Linked DNA regions of Saccharomyces cerevisiae S288C. Changing the gene in region 3 together with the main gene of any one other region gives a genetic interaction. Each region holds a gene or a part of one and is shown on either strand. Other genes may lie near its edges. The genes, in order: RTT103, CKB2, DUN1 and RAD9.

Region 1 (7,367 bases), 760 kb from region 3:
ACAAGCCCTTGTAAAGTAAACTTAGATTGAAGCGATGGTATTAACGAGGCAAGTACTAGAGGAAGTGGAGAACACATTTATTGAATTACTTAGGAGTAAAATAGGACCTCTCGTAAAATCGCACGCAGGAACAAACTTTTGTTCATATGATGATAAAGCAAATGGCGTAGATTTGGTAACTGCTTTAGACAAACAAATTGAATCTATAATCAAGGAAAATTTAACGGCCAAGTATCCCAGTTTCAAATTTATCGGAGAAGAAACTTATGTAAAAGGTGTCACGAAAATAACTAACGGCCCTACATTTATTGTTGATCCCATCGATGGTACTACTAATTTTATTCACGGTTACCCCTATAGTTGTACATCTCTAGGTTTAGCTGAAATGGGGAAGCCGGTTGTTGGTGTGGTTTTCAATCCTCACTTAAACCAACTATTCCATGCTTCCAAAGGCAATGGAGCTTTCTTAAATGATCAGGAGATAAAGGTTTCAAAAAGGCCATTGATTTTGCAAAAATCCTTAATTGCTTTAGAAGGAGGTTCGGAAAGAACTGAAGGTTCCCAAGGAAACTTTGATAAGAAAATGAATACTTATAAAAACTTACTAAGTGAGTCCGGCGCCTTTGTTCACGGGTTCAGAAGTGCAGGAAGTGCTGCCATGAACATATGCTACGTAGCGAGCGGCATGCTTGATGCTTATTGGGAAGGTGGCTGCTGGGCTTGGGATGTTTGTGCCGGTTGGTGTATTCTTGAGGAAGCAGGAGGAATAATGGTTGGCGGAAATTGTGGAGAATGGAACATTCCATTAGACAGAAGATGTTACTTGGCTATTAGAGGTGGATGTGAGTCGATGGAGCAGAAGCGATTTGCAGAATCGTTTTGGCCTCACGTTGCGGGTGAGTTAGAATACTAAATGCCCCCCTCAGGTGTCGTTAAATAAGCTACATCTAAGAAAAGTTTATATAGTACTTCACGCAATTCCTACTAGTATTTTTTTCCAGTACAGGACGATATCTTGAAGCAGCAACTTGATTTCACAGGTCACTTAGTGTGGGCTTCTGACTCAAGAATAGCAAGTATTACATGCATGCGGCCCTCTCCTTTAACAGCGCGATATACGTGAAGAAAAATTTCAATGAAGAGTAATGCGCTTATTATCAACTTCGATTGAAGGGGTCCTATATCAGTATGCTACAAGGGAAGGTTGTTCGATAAACATAAGCTTCTCATTAGCATGAGTTCTATAGATAATGACAGCGATGTGGATTTAACAGAAGATTTAGCCGTGGCCAAGATCGTTAAAGAGAATCCTGTAGCTAGAAAAATGGTTAGGTATATTTTATCGAGAGGAGAATCTCAAAATTCGATCATAACAAGAAACAAGTTACAATCTGTTATACATGAAGCTGCTCGCGAGGAAAACATAGCAAAACCGTCTTTTAGTAAAATGTTTATGGACATAAATGCTATACTGTATAACGTATATGGGTTTGAATTACAAGGATTGCCGTCAAAAAATAATATGAACGCTGGCGGTAATGGAAGCAATAGCAATACAAATAAATCAATGCCTGAGCCACTGGGACATAGAGCCCAGAAATTTATCTTGCTAAACAATGTCCCGCACTCAAAAAATTTTGACGATTTCAAGATTTTACAAAGCGCTCACACTTATGAAGAGCTAATAGTTACCGGAGAGTATATTGGTGACGATATAGCTTCAGGAACTTCCAATACCTTAGAAAGCAAGTTGAGTACAGATCGAGATCTTGTTTACAAGGGTGTTTTGAGCGTCATTTTATGCATTGTTTTCTTCTCTAAGAATAACATATTACATCAGGAATTGATCAAATTTCTAGAGACATTTGGCATTCCAAGCGATGGTTCAAAGATTGCTATACTGAACATTACTATTGAAGATTTGATAAAAAGTTTAGAAAAGCGCGAATATATAGTCAGATTGGAGGAGAAATCCGATACCGACGGGGAAGTGATATCATACAGGATAGGTAGAAGAACTCAGGCTGAGCTTGGACTAGAGTCTCTTGAAAAATTGGTGCAAGAAATCATGGGCCTTGAAAAGGAGCAGACTAAAAGTTTGCACGATGATATAATAAAAAGCATTGGCGATTCATATTCTATATAGCATTGCATAGGTGTCCATGTAGTTTAGGTGCGCATCTTTTTTGTCGAGGAAATAGTGAAGATGAATACGAAATAAACTATGGGCAAATAGTTACGAAAAAAGACTGGACTTAAACGGGTTACTATATATTTGTATAAGTTATCTCCTTGTTTTCTTTTTACTCAACCATCATATTAATTTGCAAGCTTACTTAACAAGTCTTGTATACTAGAAGAAACCCCTCCGGAATTCTCAACACCTTCGTCGGTTTGGGCGCCGACGTGGCCTTCTATATCTAACTCATAATGTCCATCCTCACTGTTGAAAGTACCATCTTCACTCGTCTTCGAATCAAGATGAACCTTTTTTTCCGGTATGTCATTAGCGTCATCATGACCTATCATATCATGTGTTCGTTTCATACCAAATTGATTGTCACTAGGATTATGAGTAGAGTTTTTATGTTCGCTATCTGTCTTTTCTACAACTTCATTCTTCTTATCTGTGGTGCTAATATTAGTAACGCCATAATTGCTGTCATTGGATCTATCATCGTAATTTTTGTCATCATCATCATCATCATCATCATCATCATTATCACCATCATCGTCATCGTCATCTCCATCCCCCACTTCATACGTAGGAATAATATTGTCTTCATCAACGTTTTTATTTAATCTGGATGGGTCTTTAGCAGATAAAACGAATTCTATTTCACTTAACATATTCTGTTCCTCATCTAGATGCCTTTTTTCATCGTCCAGTGTGCTTTGCAGTTTATGGATACCGCTTTCTCTTTTTAGAATTGATTCATTTATTATATCTTTAGCCATGTTCCCAATCTTACTTATTGTTTTAAAATTTTCCTCGTAAACTGAGCTGGATGGATCCAATTCATCTGATGATTTGTCAAATCTCATTTTCATCGCGCAAACATTATGGTGCATTTTCACTAATTTTTCATAGTCCTTAGCAAAATCTTTCAATTTCTGGGGTAACACCAACGCTTCCACTGGTGAGCTCTCGGTTTTAAGACTTCTTTCTATGTCATTGACTACCTGCTTGGAAAATATATTTCTTTCTTTTAGTATATTCACAACTCTTGACAACTTCTTTTTTAGGTCCCTCGGAAACTCTTGATTAATTCTTCCCAATACTTCTGCTGCCACCTTTCCAAAGGAATCTTGAAATTGAATAATTTTTTGACCTTTAGCCTGTTGAACAACATGATTCATTAAGTAAAGACCCAATAACTTCCTTCTTGTGTTTACACTAGGCCTTAACATGTATTCTTTCCACATTTCTGCCACTTTGGGAGCATCTCTATACTGTAGAAGCAACCACTTTGAGGCACTGGAAATAGATTCTTGGGAATCTTCCAACGTATTTAATTTGGTTGTGAATTGCTCAGAAGAGAAAGGCATACCGTCTATTTTAATCTTGGATTATTGCTTTCTTCAAATTTTCTACCTCTTCGTTAAAACCTTCTTCGCTTGTACTTATATTATTATGTTGGCTTTTCAAGTTTATATATTTTTAAAGGAAAAAAATAACTTTTTCATTTTTCGTTATAAAACAGAACCGTTATACATATTGAGATGGTTAAGGTCGTAGAAAAGAAATGTTCATTTGAGAAGGAAAAATGGAGGAAGGACCTATCAAAAAGAAACTGAAGTCAGCAGGTCAAGGGAGTGGAAAGACCGATGCCTTTAGAAATTTTGAACAATTTTTTTTCCGCCTTAATACTCTTTACACCTTTTTGATTTGCAGAAAGCATGTTGTGCCTACATTTAAAACACTTTGTGGACCTATAGAAACTGCTTTGAAAAGAACTGTGACGAAAGAAGACCTAGCCATGGTTATGGCGCTAATGCCAAGAGAATGTGTTTTCAAGTATATTGATGAGAACCAAATTTATACTGAAACTAAGATTTTTGACTTCAATAATGGCGGCTTTCAGCAGAAGGAAAATGACATATTTGAACTGAAGGACGTTGATGACCAAAATCAGACTCAAAAATCTACTCAGTTACTTATATTTGAATTTATAGACGGTACAATGCAACGCTCATGGTCTGCAAGTGATAGATTTTCTCAAATAAAGATACCAACATATACTACGGAGGAAATGAAAAAGATGATTTCTAAAAGGGAAGCTCTCTTTAAATCCAGACTACGGGAATTTATCCTGGAAAAGGAAAAGGCTAACCTTGACCCATTTTCTGAGTTAACAAATCTAGCGCAGAAATATATTCCAAGGGAGAGAGATTATGAGGATCCTATTGAGGCAATGATGAAGGCGAAGCAAGAAAGTAATGAGATGAGCATTCCCAATTATTCCAATAATTCAGTGATAACAACAATTCCTCAAATGATTGAGAAATTAAAAAGTACTGAATTCTACGCTTCTCAGATAAAGCATTGTTTTACAATACCATCAAGAACAGCGAAGTATAAAGGTCTCTGTTTTGAGCTTGCACCGGAAGTATATCAGGGTATGGAACACGAAAATTTCTACAGCCATCAAGCAGATGCGATAAACAGTCTTCATCAAGGCGAAAACGTCATTATTACAACATCGACCTCTTCAGGTAAATCCCTTATTTACCAACTAGCAGCTATCGATCTTCTTTTAAAGGATCCTGAATCAACGTTTATGTATATATTTCCAACAAAGGCCCTGGCACAAGATCAAAAAAGAGCATTCAAGGTAATACTTTCAAAGATCCCCGAGCTAAAGAATGCCGTGGTTGATACGTATGACGGCGATACGGAGCCAGAGGAAAGAGCTTATATTCGTAAAAATGCTAGAGTTATTTTTACCAATCCTGACATGATACATACCAGCATTTTACCTAATCATGCAAATTGGAGACATTTTTTGTACCATCTAAAGTTAGTGGTGGTCGATGAATTGCATATATATAAGGGTTTATTTGGATCGCACGTGGCATTAGTGATGAGACGTTTACTAAGACTGTGCCACTGTTTTTACGAAAATAGTGGTTTACAATTTATTTCATGTTCTGCAACTTTAAAGTCTCCAGTACAACATATGAAGGACATGTTTGGAATTAATGAGGTTACGCTAATACACGAGGATGGCTCACCTACAGGTGCTAAGCATCTAGTGGTGTGGAATCCTCCAATTTTACCTCAACACGAACGTAAACGAGAAAATTTCATTAGAGAGAGTGCAAAGATATTGGTACAATTGATATTGAACAACGTAAGAACCATAGCATTTTGCTACGTTCGTCGTGTTTGTGAATTGTTGATGAAAGAAGTTCGCAATATTTTTATTGAAACTGGGCGTGAGGATCTGGTTACAGAAGTCATGTCTTACAGGGGTGGTTATTCTGCTTCCGACAGACGTAAAATAGAACGTGAGATGTTTCACGGAAATTTAAAGGCTGTCATATCTACCAATGCTCTAGAACTTGGTATTGATATCGGTGGACTAGACGCAGTCTTGATGTGCGGTTTCCCACTATCAATGGCGAATTTTCATCAACAAAGTGGTAGAGCTGGAAGAAGAAATAATGATTCTTTAACCCTCGTGGTTGCAAGTGACTCGCCTGTTGATCAACATTATGTTGCTCATCCAGAATCCTTGCTGGAGGTTAATAATTTCGAATCTTATCAAGATTTGGTTCTTGATTTCAATAACATTTTGATACTGGAAGGACACATACAATGCGCTGCTTTCGAACTGCCAATAAATTTTGAACGTGACAAGCAATACTTTACTGAATCTCATCTTCGCAAAATCTGTGTTGAACGCTTACATCACAATCAAGATGGGTACCACGCCAGTAATAGATTTTTACCATGGCCGTCCAAGTGTGTATCTTTGAGAGGCGGAGAAGAAGATCAATTTGCCGTAGTGGATATAACAAATGGAAGAAATATAATAATTGAGGAAATAGAAGCATCCAGGACTAGTTTTACTTTATATGATGGCGGTATATTCATTCACCAAGGCTATCCCTACCTTGTGAAGGAGTTTAATCCTGATGAAAGATATGCTAAAGTGCAAAGAGTAGATGTTGACTGGGTAACCAACCAAAGAGACTTTACAGATGTAGATCCACAGGAAATTGAACTTATACGCTCTTTAAGGAATAGTGATGTTCCTGTTTACTTTGGTAAGATCAAGACTACAATTATTGTATTTGGCTTTTTTAAAGTAGACAAGTACAAGAGGATCATCGATGCCATCGAAACCCATAACCCTCCTGTAATAATCAATTCTAAAGGATTATGGATAGATATGCCAAAATATGCCTTAGAAATTTGCCAAAAGAAGCAATTAAATGTAGCAGGAGCTATTCACGGGGCGCAACATGCAATTATGGGTATGTTACCGCGATTTATAGTGGCGGGTGTGGATGAAATACAAACTGAATGCAAAGCTCCGGAAAAGGAATTTGCAGAACGTCAAACTAAACGAAAGCGACCAGCTAGATTAATATTCTATGATTCCAAGGGCGGTAAGTACGGGTCTGGCTTGTGTGTTAAAGCGTTTGAGCATATTGATGATATTATAGAGTCTAGTTTAAGAAGAATAGAAGAATGCCCATGCAGCGATGGATGTCCTGACTGTGTAGCGGCTTCTTTTTGTAAGGAAAACAGCCTGGTCCTGTCGAAACCTGGCGCCCAAGTCGTTTTGCATTGTATTCTAGGTCACTCGGAAGATAGTTTTATAGATCTTATCAAAGATGGTCCAGAGCCAAATATGCCAGAGATAAAAGTAGAGACTGTTATTCCTGTGTCAGAGCATGTCAACTTTTCAGATGATTTTAAGATTATTGACGTTAGAAGAGCTACGAAAGACGATACTCATACAAATGAAATCATTAAAAAAGAGATATGAGCACGCTATTTGTAGTTTGTAAACCGAATATAAATACTCTATTCTACTACTTGTAGATTCACTTGGTGGAAAGAAGTTACATCAACATTCTGTCACCTTGTTGATGCACAGAAAAAAAGACACTTTATTATTGTTGAATAACATTGTCTGTGGTATATATATATATACTATGATATTACAGTTTTTAAGACATTAATGTATTAACAGCCCATTTTACGCTTAATGTCCTCAAATCGGTATAGGTTTGTCCCACGCCAACGAATAAGATAGGAATCCCCGTAGCATAAACCATATTTACCATAGTACCCAGCATTTCACCAACTGTGTCACACTTGGAGATAATAAAGAAGTCAAGATTTCTTCCCT
Region 2 (3,072 bases), on a different chromosome or scaffold from region 3:
ACCAAAGAATGAGTAAATCTCCTCTTTTCAGTACTTCCAGATTAGTCTTCAAACAGCTTTTGAGTTTTTAAAATATAAACCGCCTCTTAGTTCATAGGCAGTCTCCACGCGATGCCGCCACTTCTCCAATTTCTTGATAAATAAGGATGCTTCCTACATTCAAAGATTTCAAGCTATTCACTAAAATAACACCAATAATTCGTGGGTAACCACATTTGCAAATTGTTGATATATAACAGGCTAACTTCGGAGCACGCTCTTTTATCTGGTTGTATTATTGCCGTAAGGGGCAATAACGGTATATAAAAATTTAATATTAAATAGGAAAAGTAAAATACGAATGGAGGTAGAAAATAGTAATATTCTAGGAAAGAAAATGCTAGGAGAACAAATGATACCTGATTTTCACAATTTTATGACGAAGTTTCTCCATTATTTTCATTTTCGTTTTCAATTTCGCCTAGGATTTCATTTCGAATTTTTTCTTCTTTCTTTAATAGTTAGGTTTTAAAACCACCACTTTTCGTCAAATCAACATCTTTGGATTCAAGTTTCTCAACTAACTTGAGTCGTTGTAGTTCTTGCCACCTTGTCAGTTGAGCTTGTTTATGTAATTCAAATCCAAATATTTTTGGAACATATCTTTTAGTTGGGTGTTTGGGTACCATATCTGGAAATGCTTGCAAAAACATACCTGGAAAACTTGTTCCAAAGTATGCACCATCAATGGAACTATGTCTCGATGATTTTGGTATATAAAGATCCTCACAAGATGGACAATATAACTTGACACAATCTATACCAGGAATGTCATGCAAACCAACCGGTAACAACTGTTGTAAATTACAATACACACGGGGACATCTTCCAAAGTCCGCCTCTTTGTACTTAGCGTACATTTTTTGCAATCCTTTGATAGTTATAATGTAGCGTGCATGGATGAGACCATACAGCTTCCGGGAATCTGATTCTAATTGTTCTAAACGGGCATGTGTCATATTCTCTAGGATACTATCATCCAAATCATCCACAATATATTGTACCACGTAGGAAAATTTTGAAACTGTCTTTTGCAAGTTCATCAGATTAAAACGATCAGTGATGTACTCAGGATCGACATCACAGAAATATTCATGGCCTTTTCTCCCAAGAAATAAATCGATCCACATATCCACGTATTCCGATGAGTCAGAGTCATCATCCATGAGGACATCATCTTGTTCCACTCTGGAGCCTTCTCTAGTCACTGTTCCCACATTCTCCGATCTACTGCCCATGATCTGCTTTTCTATCAGTTCTCTAAGTCCCTTAATCTTGAATAATTTGAAAAAAGCTAGTATTTCTCAAGTAAAAGATTGATGAAAAAATACAGCAGGAAAATTCCACGTATCTGGAATGACCAACTTCTTTAAGAATGTGATTTACTTATTCTATTTGGTGCTTGTTTTCATTTGATAAAGGATTGCCAATACACCTCCATTTATTCGCTTTCATATTTTTTCTTCCTGGAAGGTCGACAAAAAAAAGCGCGAAAAAAATATCAGTTAATTCGGCTAGAATTATGAAGTCTTCATAAAACAATATACAAAAAGTGCTAAATCGTCCATACAGAGGAATACGCCACGCAGCAAAGGAGTTCCTACACAATCCGGAACAATGAGATTATTAAAGTATCCTTTGGATATTCATAATGAACAAGTGAATGCCTTAGCTGCCCTTGGTCCCTATATCATATTGGCAGGCAGTGGGGGTCACGTGATGGCGTGGAGACAACAACAACTAGTCGATACTGCATTCGATAGGGTTATGATTAAGGATTTAAAGCCAGAAGTTTCTTTCCAGGTGGATCAGGATACTACCGGTGATATTTTTTTCATAACAGGTGATCTCGAAACATTGTATATTGGATCTGAACATCGTCTGTGGGGTTATTCAGGTTGGCTCTGTAGAGATACAAATAACATCAATTCTGTCGAAAAAATGAACAGTAAGCTTCTGTTCGAGTGTAAATCTCCAAGCACAATAACGGATGTGAAATATGACATAAACTTAGGTATCTTATTTGTTCTTTTAAGTAATGAAAATAAGATACTATTATTTCGGCATAAAACCTTTGATAAACTCTCTGAAATAACTATTGACAAGGCGAGCAAACCTATTACAGGCATAATAGATCCTACTGGCCAAACTTTTACTGTTATGACTTCAGATAGATCAATTTTAGTCTATCAAATTAACAAAACGGGTACACACAAACTCATAAATAAACTTACGCAGCATGTACAAATGTATCCATTACATTATAGAATCTCAATGTCACCTCAGGCAGACATTTTACCAGTGATAAACTCGGTGAAAGGTGTGCCGAATAATGCTACCAGCTGTACCGCTTTACTTGACAGAAATAACAACTACAAAGTTACAAAAACACTGGTAACACCTTCTTCAAATGGATGTAGAGTTCTTGTTTATTCTCCAGCATTTTATGAAAAGCCTAATTTGAAAAAGGGCACCAGCACACGCTATAATTTAATCGCCACTTCGGGATCTACAGACGGTACTATTTTGGTTTGGAATACGAAGAGAATGAAACCTTTGTTTAATGCTCTCCAGGTTTCCTCCACCGCAATAAACGATATGTCTTGGTCACAGGATGGGTTCACCTTGTTTGCCATTTCAAACGACGCGACATTGTATACATTCGCATTCCAAGAGAAGGATTTAGGTGTAGCATTGCCTCAAACGGAAATCAAATCGTTACAAGAAGTAAACAAAAAGCTTCCAAAGCTTGAAGAGCCGTTAGCAGAACAAATACCGAAAAGTTTCCCAGAAAACATCAAATTAGAAGAATCTGCAAGCGCAGCACCTATTCCAAACGATATTGGTAGATCTGCCGTGGGCAAGAAACCGACCAAAAAAAAAACGGCTAACAATCAAACTAATGGCATCAAAACTATCCAGAGCACATCAATGGAATTCAACACTCCATCATACACTGTGCCAAGGGATTTGAAGAGAAAGCCAAAAGAGGCAACTCCAAGTAACATTGCCCCTGGCAGCAAAAAGCAGAAA
Region 3 (3,582 bases):
GGTTGGTTCAATGCAAATTATTACATCCCTTTTTTATCACAAGATCTTCGTAACAATAGTACTAATTAATAGTGCTGGGGATTCTCAACCATTTTTTTTTTTTCAAAAGCGAAAATGGATAAAACGGTGGCAACTTCAAACAAGTTGAGGGAAGCCAACGCAGCGTTTAGGAAAACGTACGACAAGAACAAGAAGATCATCACATTGTAATTATGGATTTAACCGTGGAACCTAATTTGCACTCTTTAATTACCTCTACCACTCATAAGTGGATTTTCGTTGGTGGTAAAGGTGGTGTTGGTAAGACTACTTCATCATGTTCCATTGCTATCCAAATGGCTTTGAGTCAACCAAACAAACAGTTCCTACTGATCTCTACTGATCCTGCCCATAACTTAAGTGATGCATTCGGTGAGAAATTTGGTAAAGACGCCAGAAAGGTGACAGGCATGAATAATCTATCATGTATGGAAATCGATCCATCCGCTGCTTTGAAGGATATGAACGACATGGCAGTTTCACGCGCTAACAATAACGGAAGTGACGGTCAAGGTGACGATCTAGGAAGCTTGCTTCAAGGTGGTGCTCTTGCTGATTTGACCGGTTCCATCCCTGGTATCGACGAAGCTTTATCCTTCATGGAAGTCATGAAGCACATTAAAAGGCAAGAACAGGGCGAAGGTGAAACCTTCGATACTGTTATTTTTGACACTGCTCCAACTGGCCACACATTAAGATTTCTACAACTACCAAATACTTTATCCAAGCTTTTGGAAAAGTTCGGTGAAATTACCAACAAATTGGGCCCAATGCTAAACTCTTTTATGGGCGCAGGTAATGTCGATATCTCTGGAAAATTGAACGAGTTAAAGGCTAATGTCGAGACCATCAGACAACAATTCACGGATCCTGACCTAACGACTTTTGTTTGCGTTTGTATCAGTGAATTCTTATCCTTATATGAAACTGAAAGACTAATTCAGGAATTGATTTCCTACGATATGGACGTTAATTCCATCATTGTCAACCAATTATTATTTGCTGAAAACGATCAAGAGCACAACTGTAAGAGATGTCAGGCAAGATGGAAGATGCAAAAGAAGTACTTGGACCAAATCGACGAATTGTACGAAGATTTCCATGTCGTTAAAATGCCATTATGTGCTGGAGAAATCAGAGGCTTAAATAACTTAACAAAGTTCTCACAGTTCCTAAACAAAGAATATAACCCTATTACTGATGGCAAAGTCATTTATGAGTTAGAAGATAAGGAATAGAAGCCCCTGAATACCATAAATAGATACATACGACATATAACCATAGAAAAAATAGTAATACGATGGTATGTGTGTGAAAAGAAAAAAATTACGTGACGCGACGCGTTTGTTTACTTTTTTCCATTTTATTTCCATGGTATTTTTCAAATGATTTTGGAAAATTATTAGATATTGTTGAAAAAGGAGGAAATGAGAACCCTTTATAGTCGAGAGTAACAAGTAAAGGGGCTTAACATACAGTAAAAAAGGCAATTATAGTGAAGATGAGTTTGTCCACGAAAAGAGAGCACTCTGGTGATGTAACTGACTCTTCATTCAAAAGACAGCAACGAAGTAATAAGCCCAGCTCAGAATACACTTGTCTGGGCCATCTGGTGAACTTAATACCCGGAAAGGAGCAAAAAGTGGAAATAACAAATAGAAACGTTACTACAATCGGTAGAAGTAGGTCGTGCGACGTTATATTGAGTGAGCCTGACATCTCGACTTTCCATGCTGAGTTTCATCTACTGCAAATGGATGTGGATAATTTCCAAAGAAATTTGATTAATGTTATCGATAAGAGCAGAAACGGAACTTTTATTAATGGTAATCGTTTGGTGAAGAAAGACTACATCCTTAAGAATGGTGACAGAATTGTCTTTGGCAAAAGTTGCTCCTTTTTGTTCAAGTACGCATCTTCATCTTCTACTGACATCGAAAATGACGATGAAAAGGTAAGTTCAGAAAGTCGTTCATATAAGAACGACGACGAAGTTTTCAAGAAACCGCAAATAAGTGCTACAAGTAGCCAAAATGCTACAACGAGTGCCGCAATTAGAAAACTGAATAAGACAAGGCCTGTGTCGTTCTTTGATAAATATTTATTAGGTAAAGAATTAGGTGCAGGGCACTACGCCCTGGTGAAAGAAGCCAAAAACAAAAAAACTGGTCAGCAAGTAGCTGTGAAAATATTCCACGCTCAGCAAAATGACGACCAAAAAAAGAATAAACAATTTAGGGAGGAAACTAACATCCTAATGAGAGTGCAACATCCAAACATTGTCAACTTACTAGATAGTTTTGTAGAGCCAATCAGCAAATCTCAGATTCAAAAATATTTGGTACTGGAAAAGATCGACGATGGCGAACTATTTGAAAGAATCGTCAGAAAAACATGTTTGAGACAGGATGAATCCAAAGCTCTATTCAAACAGTTACTTACCGGATTGAAGTATCTGCATGAGCAAAACATCATTCACAGAGACATCAAGCCAGAAAATATCTTATTAAATATAACAAGGCGCGAAAATCCAAGTCAAGTCCAACTTGGCCCATGGGATGAAGATGAAATTGATATTCAAGTTAAAATAGCGGATTTTGGCCTAGCAAAATTTACAGGAGAAATGCAATTCACAAACACACTTTGTGGTACGCCTTCTTATGTAGCGCCCGAAGTCCTCACAAAGAAAGGATACACATCAAAAGTAGATCTTTGGAGTGCTGGTGTCATATTATATGTCTGTTTATGTGGTTTTCCTCCATTCAGTGATCAATTGGGGCCACCTTCATTGAAGGAACAGATCTTACAAGCTAAGTATGCGTTTTACTCTCCGTACTGGGATAAAATCGATGACTCAGTACTACATTTAATATCCAATCTTTTGGTCCTAAATCCTGATGAAAGGTACAATATAGATGAAGCTTTGAACCACCCTTGGTTCAATGACATACAGCAACAAAGCTCGGTCTCATTAGAATTGCAGCGTTTACAAATTACTGACAATAAAATACCCAAAACATACTCAGAATTATCTTGCCTCTAAACATGAGAAGCATTATTTCAAAAACATTGTTTGAATCTGGATTTTTCCAAGTATCTATTTATATATACATATATATCCACCAACATGCAAAAAGTTGTTAGCCTTTCTTAATCCTAATATGATGTGCCACCCTATCGTTTTTTACCATTTGCTTAATTGTTCTACTTTCTCCTGCAGCTCTTTTTTAACCTTAACCCGCATATAAAAAATGTCACAGTTCTTATTTGAACACAAAACTTCACTATGTAAGTTACCAGCGCACCTTTGGCATTGTGTCCATAATCTTGAGTATTTTTCCTCTAAATCTCTGACATCGTATAATGCCTTTATGTATAATTCTCCAGACCTTGCTAGACAGTTTGAACAAAGAGGGCCTTCACCTTTCCTCAACGGACCTTTACAACTTTTACAAGCCTCAACTTTTTTAATAAAGCTCATCAAGCCTCCTTTTTGAGAGCCTGTGTTAATTTTAATGGATTTCACAACGAACATACCGTTCG
Region 4 (9,750 bases), 620 kb from region 3:
GAGGTTTGTACGAGAGCGTTCGCAAGACAAGAGCACTTGAAAAGACATTACAGATCGCATACAAATGAAAAACCTTATCCCTGTGGCCTCTGCAACAGATGCTTTACTAGGAGGGACTTACTGATCAGGCATGCTCAAAAAATCCATAGTGGTAATTTAGGGGAAACGATTTCCCATACCAAGAAAGTGTCGAGAACTATAACTAAAGCTCGGAAAAATTCTGCATCCTCAGTCAAGTTTCAAACTCCAACCTATGGTACTCCAGATAATGGTAATTTTTTGAATCGCACTACTGCCAATACAAGAAGAAAAGCAAGCCCTGAAGCTAATGTTAAACGTAAGTACTTGAAAAAACTGACGCGCAGGGCTTCATTTAGCGCACAATCAGCATCCAGCTATGCTTTGCCCGACCAATCTTCGCTAGAACAACATCCAAAGGATCGTGTTAAATTTTCTACGCCTGAATTAGTTCCACTTGACTTGAAGAATCCTGAACTTGACTCTTCGTTTGACCTGAATATGAATCTAGATTTAAACCTAAATCTAGATTCCAATTTCAATATAGCATTAAACCGTTCTGATTCTTCTGGATCAACAATGAATTTGGATTATAAATTGCCCGAATCAGCAAATAACTACACATATTCTTCCGGCTCACCAACCCGCGCATATGTCGGCGCTAACACGAATTCTAAGAACGCTTCATTTAATGACGCAGACTTATTGTCGTCGTCGTACTGGATAAAAGCCTATAATGATCATTTGTTTTCAGTATCTGAAAGTGATGAAACTTCTCCAATGAACTCTGAATTAAACGACACTAAATTAATCGTCCCAGATTTTAAATCGACTATACATCATTTGAAGGATTCAAGGTCCTCCTCTTGGACTGTTGCTATAGATAATAATAGCAATAACAATAAGGTATCAGACAACCAACCTGATTTCGTCGATTTTCAAGAACTGCTGGATAATGATACTTTAGGTAATGATTTGTTAGAGACCACTGCCGTTTTAAAAGAATTTGAACTTTTACATGATGATAGCGTAAGTGCTACCGCCACGTCAAATGAGATTGACCTTTCCCATTTGAACCTATCAAACTCTCCAATTTCTCCTCATAAGTTAATTTATAAGAATAAAGAGGGGACCAATGACGATATGTTGATTTCTTTCGGACTCGATCATCCTTCCAATCGCGAAGATGATCTGGATAAGCTATGTAATATGACCAGAGATGTTCAAGCCATATTCAGTCAATATTTGAAAGGAGAAGAGTCTAAACGATCCCTGGAAGACTTTTTATCAACGTCAAACAGGAAAGAAAAGCCAGATAGCGGCAACTATACTTTTTATGGGTTAGATTGTTTAACGTTATCGAAAATATCAAGAGCTCTGCCGGCCTCCACTGTGAACAACAATCAGCCATCGCATTCCATAGAATCAAAGCTATTTAATGAACCAATGAGAAATATGTGCATTAAAGTGCTTAGATACTATGAAAAGTTCAGTCATGATAGTAGTGAGAGTGTCATGGACTCTAATCCAAACTTGCTGTCCAAAGAATTGTTAATGCCAGCTGTGAGTGAATTGAACGAATATTTAGATCTTTTCAAGAATAATTTCCTTCCCCATTTCCCTATTATTCACCCAAGCTTGCTTGATTTGGATTTGGATAGCTTGCAACGATATACTAATGAGGATGGGTATGATGACGCTGAAAACGCGCAGTTGTTTGATCGATTAAGTCAAGGGACAGATAAAGAATATGATTACGAGCACTATCAAATCTTGTCCATTTCGAAAATCGTTTGTTTACCCTTATTTATGGCCACATTTGGTTCTTTGCATAAGTTCGGTTACAAATCTCAAACAATAGAATTGTATGAGATGAGTAGAAGAATTCTACATTCTTTTTTGGAGACTAAAAGAAGGTGTCGCAGTACAACAGTAAATGACAGTTATCAGAACATTTGGTTGATGCAATCCCTAATATTGAGCTTCATGTTCGCTCTAGTTGCTGATTATTTGGAGAAAATTGACTCCTCTTTGATGAAAAGGCAATTGTCCGCATTATGTTCAACGATCAGATCAAACTGTTTACCGACAATTTCTGCAAATTCTGAGAAGAGTATCAATAATAACAATGAACCTTTAACATTTGGTTCTCCTCTTCAATACATCATTTTTGAGTCAAAAATTAGATGCACCTTAATGGCTTATGATTTTTGTCAGTTCTTGAAATGTTTCTTCCATATTAAATTCGATTTGTCTATAAAGGAAAAAGATGTTGAAACCATTTATATTCCCGACAATGAGTCAAAATGGGCCAGTGAATCGATAATATGTAATGGGCATGTTGTGCAAAAGCAAAATTTTTATGATTTTAGAAACTTTTATTACAGTTTCACGTATGGACACTTACACTCAATACCAGAATTTTTAGGGTCATCTATGATTTATTATGAATACGATTTAAGAAAAGGAACCAAATCACATGTGTTTTTGGATCGAATCGATACGAAAAGGCTAGAGAGGAGTCTTGACACTTCTTCCTATGGCAATGATAATATGGCAGCAACCAATAAAAATATTGCGATCTTAATTGATGACACCATAATTTTGAAAAATAATTTAATGTCAATGAGATTCATCAAACAGATTGATCGCTCGTTTACTGAGAAGGTTAGAAAAGGACAAATAGCAAAGATATATGATTCCTTTTTGAACTCTGTGAGGTTGAATTTTTTGAAGAATTATTCAGTTGAAGTATTGTGTGAATTTTTAGTAGCGTTGAACTTTTCAATCCGTAATATTTCGTCTTTATACGTAGAAGAAGAAAGTGATTGCTCCCAAAGAATGAATTCTCCAGAGCTGCCAAGGATCCACCTGAATAATCAAGCGCTTTCTGTCTTCAATTTACAAGGCTATTACTATTGCTTCATCCTAATTATCAAATTTTTATTGGATTTTGAAGCAACTCCAAATTTTAAGTTACTGAGAATTTTTATTGAGTTGAGAAGCCTTGCGAATTCTATTTTACTTCCCACACTTTCAAGATTGTATCCGCAAGAGTTTTCTGGATTTCCTGATGTTGTATTTACGCAACAATTTATAAATAAAGATAATGGTATGCTTGTCCCTGGTTTATCCGCAAATGAACACCATAATGGTGCAAGTGCAGCTGTTAAGACTAAGTTAGCCAAAAAGATCAATGTTGAAGGGCTTGCAATGTTTATTAATGAAATCCTAGTTAACTCTTTTAACGATACCTCTTTTTTGAATATGGAGGATCCTATTCGAAATGAATTTTCCTTTGATAATGGGGACAGGGCAGTGACAGACTTGCCTCGTTCAGCACATTTCCTATCGGATACCGGCCTAGAAGGTATTAACTTCAGCGGCTTAAATGATTCGCATCAAACTGTTTCTACTTTGAATCTTTTACGTTACGGGGAAAATCATTCATCAAAACATAAAAATGGTGGAAAGGGGCAAGGATTTGCCGAAAAGTACCAATTATCTCTGAAATATGTTACTATTGCCAAGTTATTTTTCACCAATGTTAAAGAAAACTACATTCATTGTCACATGTTAGATAAGATGGCAAGTGATTTCCACACTTTGGAAAATCATCTAAAGGGAAACAGTTGACGATTATGTCTCGTTGCTGATATGTGTCGTCCCAGTACTCAACTCTTTCTGATGAGATTTTGAATATCTCATTTTATTTCTCATCAAACAGCCATGCATGCGACTGAAGTGGACTACTGCGGGAGAACACCGATCTTATCTTTGAAATTGTTGCACAAAAATATTTCACTACCTTGGCGTTTCTCATCTCACCCATTGGGGTGAATCTCGTTATTGCTCCTTATTTTGGTCCATTTTATATTAAATCCTGTATCATGTTTAACATTTTTCATCTTATACCTCATACAAAAAAGAAAAGCTATTTATGAAAGTTAGTTCATTACAAGATGCAAGCCTAAAATATATGCTTGATCTTAAAATTCATGTATAGAAGAAAAAGACCTTACCAACGTTGTTGGTTACCGTGTATAACTAATACCAATCTTGAACATTAACCACTCCTGGCGTGTGGGAGGATGTTCTTAGACTTAATTAAGAATCTCTAAATTTTTTTTTATTTAATCGTCCCTTTCTATCAATTATGAGTTTATATATTTTTATAATTTCATCTAACCTCAGAAATAGTGTTGTATATATCATTGTCCGTAATATCATCGTGAAAACCAGTGTCCTCGTTAATTATTGTCTGAATTAGCCATTCTTTAGATTCAGTGTGAAATATGTAATTAAATTTCTTAAATTTCAGTGATATTTGACTTCTCAATCTTTCGAGAAGCTTCATCTGAGATTTACCATTATTTTCGTTAGCATATATGAGAAACTTTAACTTTCGATTAGATAATTCTGATCCTATTCTGGGTACTAAAGAATCTAAGGCATTTAACAATGGCTCTGTATCATCTACATCAATATTGGGTAAATCAATTGTAAGCATTCTACCTGCGCTCAAACATGCAAAAGCAAATTTGACAAAACTGTCCAACTCAGATCTACCCCAAACAATAACAATGTAGTCATTTAACATTTTCTTCACTCCACATATCTGATCTCTTAAATTAGATCCGCGTAAGAATTGTGTATAAAATGAAAAAATATTGTTGGATTTAATGATTCCTCCCTTTGATGGAGAATCTAACGATAACCGAAAACTTTCACCCGAAGGTAATAGGTATTGGTATATTAAATGTGGTACTATTCTTTTCTTTTCAATGCATGCACTTATGAATTTCCAGTGTAGTGTAGGCCACCCCAACGCCAAAGTTTCTAAGTACTTTAAGCTTCTTAAATGCCGTTTTGTGATTAGGCAAGCAAATCTGCAGTCTGCAAATAGGGAATGAGGTTTCCAGGCTAGCTTCAAGGCCAATTCTCGAATATTATCTGTATTACCTTTATTGACTAAAGATTTAGCTAGCGGATGAGTGAAGTTAAATAAAGTGGAAAATCCTGACTCAATTACAGTGCCGCCTTGCGATTCAATGGTCTGTCGAAGTTCCTCTCTATTTTCGAATAGGCTTGTCAAAACAAAAATACATTTATCAAATACATTCCCTGTTCTGATTTCACCAGAAGAAAAAAGCAGGCTTGGCGCTCCTGCATGTTCAGCTAATGCGTCTCTAGAATCCTTTTTAACAATTTCCTTCTTTTCGGAGCTCGATTCTATTTCGTTATTGTACACTTCAGTATGCGTATTTATGTCCTTTTCGTCATCAGTATGTTTCTTCGGAGACAGAACATTGGTCATTGATTTCCTTCCCCTAATGGGATGTCTCAAGTACCTATACGCGTCGCCTTTATTTTTCTCATTATCTTCTAATATGATCTTCGCTCTTTTAGCCCACTCGCTTAGGTCAAGACTGATCGAGCTTAGTGCTTTAATTAACGTCCTTTTCCCCAACAATCCGCTTGCATTTTTTTTTTTCAAATGAACCGTATCATATCCTCGAATACATCTTATTATGTTGAGATCATGGCTACGACATTCTAGACCAACGACTACGTACTCATTTCCATCAAAGGTAACAGCATCCCCTATTCTAATATCTAAGTAGTAGATGTCCTCATCTTTGGTTAGCGATCTTCCTGTTTCGAAATAAATCCAACAGCCATCTTGATTAGTGTCAACTTCCAATAAAATACCCGGATAAAATTTGTAATTCCACGTATACTGACACCATACCGCATTTCCAAAAATTATGTCGTCTTTCGATAAGAAACTATTATCTGCCGTTCTAATACCTTCAGGAAACACGTAAGACTGTTCTTTAGAGTCTTTGCCCGAACCTGTCTCCCCTGTTTGTATGGTAATGCTGCAAGACGGTTCCCTTTTGATAGAAGCAGCATCCAAATCTGAATTTCTTTTGAGGTGTTTTGTCGGTGATGTCTTAGTGCTTCTGTTCTCCTCCTCTTCACCGATCTCTATTGTATCTTTTTGACGTCGCTTTATTGTTCTTCGGTTCTGAATAATCTCCTGTGACTCACTTGGAAATAATTGCATGAGGTTTTTCTGAAGTTCTGAGCTCTGTCCTTTGCTTTCGTGTTCAATCAAAGCTACATCCAAAGACTCTGTGCCATCTTGTTTATCTGAATTGCATTCTTTATTATCATCATGAAGCTGAAGTGAGTTCCCCTTGCTTTTTTTTATCTCCATTAAAGTTTCTTCCTCGACTACCAGCTTTTTTGGAGACGTTTGAAGATCTTGCTGCTCTTCAACTTCAGGCAGTTCTTGGGTTAGTTCAACCTCGCTCATGATTGTACTTTCCTTTTTCGTATCAAGCTCATTTGGGGACATACGTTCTGTTTCATCACTTCCTGAATCAGATATTTGCTTTCCTGAAAGTTGTAAGTATATTCTATCGGTTATTTCCTTTTGTTCGTTGAAATCAGATGAACCGGCTATGATAATGTCATCTCTGGTAGCTGCATTTGAAGAATTTTGTATATCGTTTGAAAAAACATTGTTTGTCTCTACTTCTCTCTCGTGTATATTAAATGTATCTTTTTCCTTCGGAATAGGTGAAGAATTCGAGGGTTTTGACATCGTATTCTTAGATGGTGAACTAGTCTCAGGAACTTCCAATATGGGTTCAAAATTAATCCGAGAAAGAGTAACGGGAGTTTCAAAGGTTGCATTCAAAGCATTTTGTTCAGGAGAATTTATTATTTGGGTTTTTATTTCTTCTGTCTGGCCAGTAGAATGAAAAACAGGTCCCTTCTGAGCAGATATGCCTTGGGAAAGCGATGAAACAATTATCTGTGTCTCTAATTCATTATTTGTTTCGGTATTGAAACTTTTAGATAAGGGTTGCGTATCGATTGAAATACTATCTAAAGGCATTTCCTGTGTTCTTGGATTATTGACTATTTGCGTAGATCTATTGCTATTATTTTCCGTTTTGTCTTTTGAGTATCGGAATATCCACTTCTTGGATGGTTCCCGATTGTTTACACTCTCACTGGAATACATTTCTTCTTCCGCATTGTTGCGTGAAGGGGTGCCAGACACAGCACTATTAATATCGATATCTAAATTGTTCACGTCATTCTCTCTACCCGAAACATTCAGATTCTTTTCCAATTCGTTAATCTCCTCTGATTCATTACTTTGTATTATTTGATTGTTCCGTTCTCTGAGATCATCTGATGAATAGTTCTCACTTTTCTTTTTTACTGGATTTTTTTCCTCGATAGCTCCTATGTTATCTTCGTTATTGTTAAAAACCTTGTTTACATTTCTTGTGGTCCGGCCATTCCCGGTAATTTTGTTCTTGTCATAAGAGCTTATCGAATTAGGTGATTCTGCTGATATCATGATTTGAGTTTTTTGAACTCGTTCATCTTGCATTCCTCCACTTTTACTTAATTCGTCTTTATATCTTTTAGGTGTAACAATTCCTTCCAATGCACAGTCATAATTATCAGCAGAACGTTCAGCCATCTGTACAAAAGTGGCATCCGCCTCTGTAACTTCTAATGACGCATTTTCTTCTCCATCATTCTGCTCTCCATAATAGCAAAACCCAGTATCTGACTTCAACTTTTTGAAGGTTTTCTGTTCCAATGGATCAGTTGGAGTTTGAAAAGTCATTTTTTTTCTTAACATCAGAGGAGTGTCTTCCAGATCGGAGCTTTGATATTTGGTCAAAAGATTTTCTTTACCAGGGGTTCGATTGCTTTTGAAAAAGTTAGCAATTCGGTCAAGGTCAGGAGTCCTTTCATTATGCAATATGTTAGCATTTGGTCGATCATTATCTCCTACTTCAATATTTAACTCATCATCATGTCTTGGACTCTCGTCAAGTAATCCCAGAGATTTTTGAAATATCTCACTTGTATTCATAAACTTGACAGGATTTGGATTTGCTTTGGGACTTCCTTCGATTATGTTTGTGCTATTTACCTTGTTTTCCAACGGATCAACGGGAACATTCATTTCGTTCATGTCGCCATCAGCCAAGGGAGAATGCAGTGCTTCCTTTATAGCGCTTTGGGTGACTCGATCTGGAGAGCTTTTCCATTGAACTAACTGGCCTGACATAGCCCTGATGTTGAAGATTTTCTCACTATGCTCTTTTCTATGGCGTTTCTCTATCTTGCTCACTTCACATTGCTCATCGTTGCAAATATCCACGAACAAAAATCCTCGCGTGTTTAATCAGAACTGCACTCTGAAAATTCAAAGCCGTGCCAGTAATAAGAAAGACACAAGGTTATATAGAGACACATCGAGAAAGTATATTATAGATTAAAAAAATTTTGCCTTATACTTTAGTGCACTTGAAAAAGCAATAAAATTTTATTTCATATGTATCTAACGCTAACAAGGCCGTATATTTATTTAGACCTTATTTTGATGGGGAGCTGCCAACATTTTCTCCAATAAATCAATCTTCCTTTGATAGTCTTCAATAATTCTGTTTTTTTCGTCTATTTCTTTGTGTATTTGATAAGCATTTTCATCGTTTGTATCTGGATTCCCAAGTGTTCTACTTGCACTATTTCTTCTGGTGGAAACATTGCTGACACTTCCCCTTGAGGTTTCGTCGATATAGCTATAGTTTGGAATATCATAGTTGTTTTTCTTCTCAGTTAACACTTTAGCCCTATAATTTTCATACAATACGTTGTTTGTTACATCTTTTAATTCCTGAAGGTGAGAACCTAACAGTATTGCTTTTAAGTATATAAAATCGGAGGTGTTTTGGTCTTCGACCACCAAGCTACCCCATTCGTACGTTCTGATATGCTCAACCCTATTTTCCGAATTTTTATTAAAAGTTTTGCTGCAAACAATGGCAAATGGCGATATTTCCTTGATCTTCGTGTCATTATCGTATTTGGATTTTGCTGAACTGGAATCGATGTCCATATCGTACAGAGCTAATGTTTCGCCTAGGGTGTCACTTTTAAAATCAAAAACACGTATATTGTTCTGAGAGATTTCTTGGCGCACAATGTCTTTGTGTAAATTTAATTCAGTTTCTGTGAGACCATCGGCTTTTGGAATAATGGGAATTAAATTAACTTTATCACAAATCGTTTTCATTAACTCAATATCAAATTTTTTGACTCCTCTTGGAGTACTCTTCAGAAAGTATAAACAAACATGAGGCCTCCCATCAGTTTCTTTTGTGTTTCTCTTTATTCTGACCTCTTCTTTTAAAACATTTGCAAACTGTTGGTCTAAGTAGTTTTTTATAACAACAGAGCTTTGTGAATTGTCGACATTGTCACCGCAGCCTGGAAACAATATGATATCTAATGTTATGGGTACGCCTAGTTCATCGTTCAAATACACTCTTCTGGTGACAAGCTTCAGCCCAGGACTCAAATGGGCTGTTTTATATCCAGGATCTATATCTTCGATGGCGTTTCCATTTTCTGGTGTTACATTATTTGTCACTTTATCATCATCATCATCATAATCCCCATCAGAAAGCGATATATCCTGACCGCACAGATTGTTTAAAAACGTTGATTTGCCGCTGCCTTTTTCTCCAAGTAACAAAATTGACAACTGCAGTCCTTTCTTGTAACCCTTGCGACGTCTTAACTCATCTCTGCTGAGAGTATGTTGTTCAAGAGCTGAGTGATCTTTCATTGGGAACATTTGATTATTTACTGACTTTATGTACGTATAGTAGCTCTTTTTTTGTATCG

Evidence for each region.
Region 1: mutations in DUN1 (region 3) and RTT103 together harm fitness more than expected from each alone (negative genetic interaction), as found in Saccharomyces cerevisiae (5 studies listed by BioGRID, with this or other methods).
Region 2: mutations in DUN1 (region 3) and CKB2 together harm fitness more than expected from each alone (negative genetic interaction), as found in Saccharomyces cerevisiae (7 studies listed by BioGRID, with this or other methods).
Region 4: mutations in DUN1 (region 3) and RAD9 together harm fitness more than expected from each alone (negative genetic interaction), as found in Saccharomyces cerevisiae (8 studies listed by BioGRID, with this or other methods).

The regions. Positions count from the first base shown.
Region 1 is NC_001136.10:1,035,961-1,043,327, forward strand, and holds RTT103 (Rtt103p), read right to left. Parts: upstream 3,550-7,367; coding exon 2,320-3,549; downstream 1-2,319. Other genes in the region: inositol monophosphate 1-phosphatase INM2, read left to right, coding at 35-913; Smc5-Smc6 complex subunit NSE3, read left to right, coding at 1,235-2,146; HRQ1 (ATP-dependent 3'-5' DNA helicase), read left to right, coding at 3,768-7,001; SRP101 (signal recognition particle receptor subunit alpha), read right to left, coding at 7,186-7,367. UniProt on the Saccharomyces cerevisiae protein: Involved in transcription termination by RNA polymerase II and in regulation of Ty1 transposition.
Region 2 is NC_001147.6:403,973-407,044, reverse strand, and holds CKB2 (casein kinase 2 regulatory subunit CKB2), read right to left. Parts: upstream 1,278-3,072; coding exon 501-1,277; downstream 1-500. Other genes in the region: HIR2 (Hir2p), read left to right, coding at 1,657-3,072. UniProt on the Saccharomyces cerevisiae protein: Regulatory subunit of casein kinase II/CK2.
Region 3 is NC_001136.10:279,807-283,388, reverse strand, and holds DUN1 (serine/threonine protein kinase DUN1), read left to right. Parts: upstream 1-1,540; coding exon 1,541-3,082; downstream 3,083-3,582. Other genes in the region: guanine nucleotide exchange factor GET3, read left to right, coding at 213-1,277; DNA-directed DNA polymerase delta POL3, read right to left, coding at 3,224-3,582. UniProt on the Saccharomyces cerevisiae protein: Transducer of the DNA damage signal. Phosphorylates SML1 on serine residues. Cooperates with the PAN deadenylation complex in the regulation of RAD5 mRNA levels and cell survival in response to replicational stress.
Region 4 is NC_001136.10:895,353-905,102, forward strand, and holds RAD9 (chromatin-binding protein RAD9), read right to left. Parts: upstream 8,129-9,750; coding exon 4,199-8,128; downstream 1-4,198. Other genes in the region: DNA-binding transcription factor ADR1, read left to right, coding at 1-3,654; septin SPR28, read right to left, coding at 8,429-9,700. UniProt on the Saccharomyces cerevisiae protein: Essential for cell cycle arrest at the G2 stage following DNA damage by X-irradiation or inactivation of DNA ligase.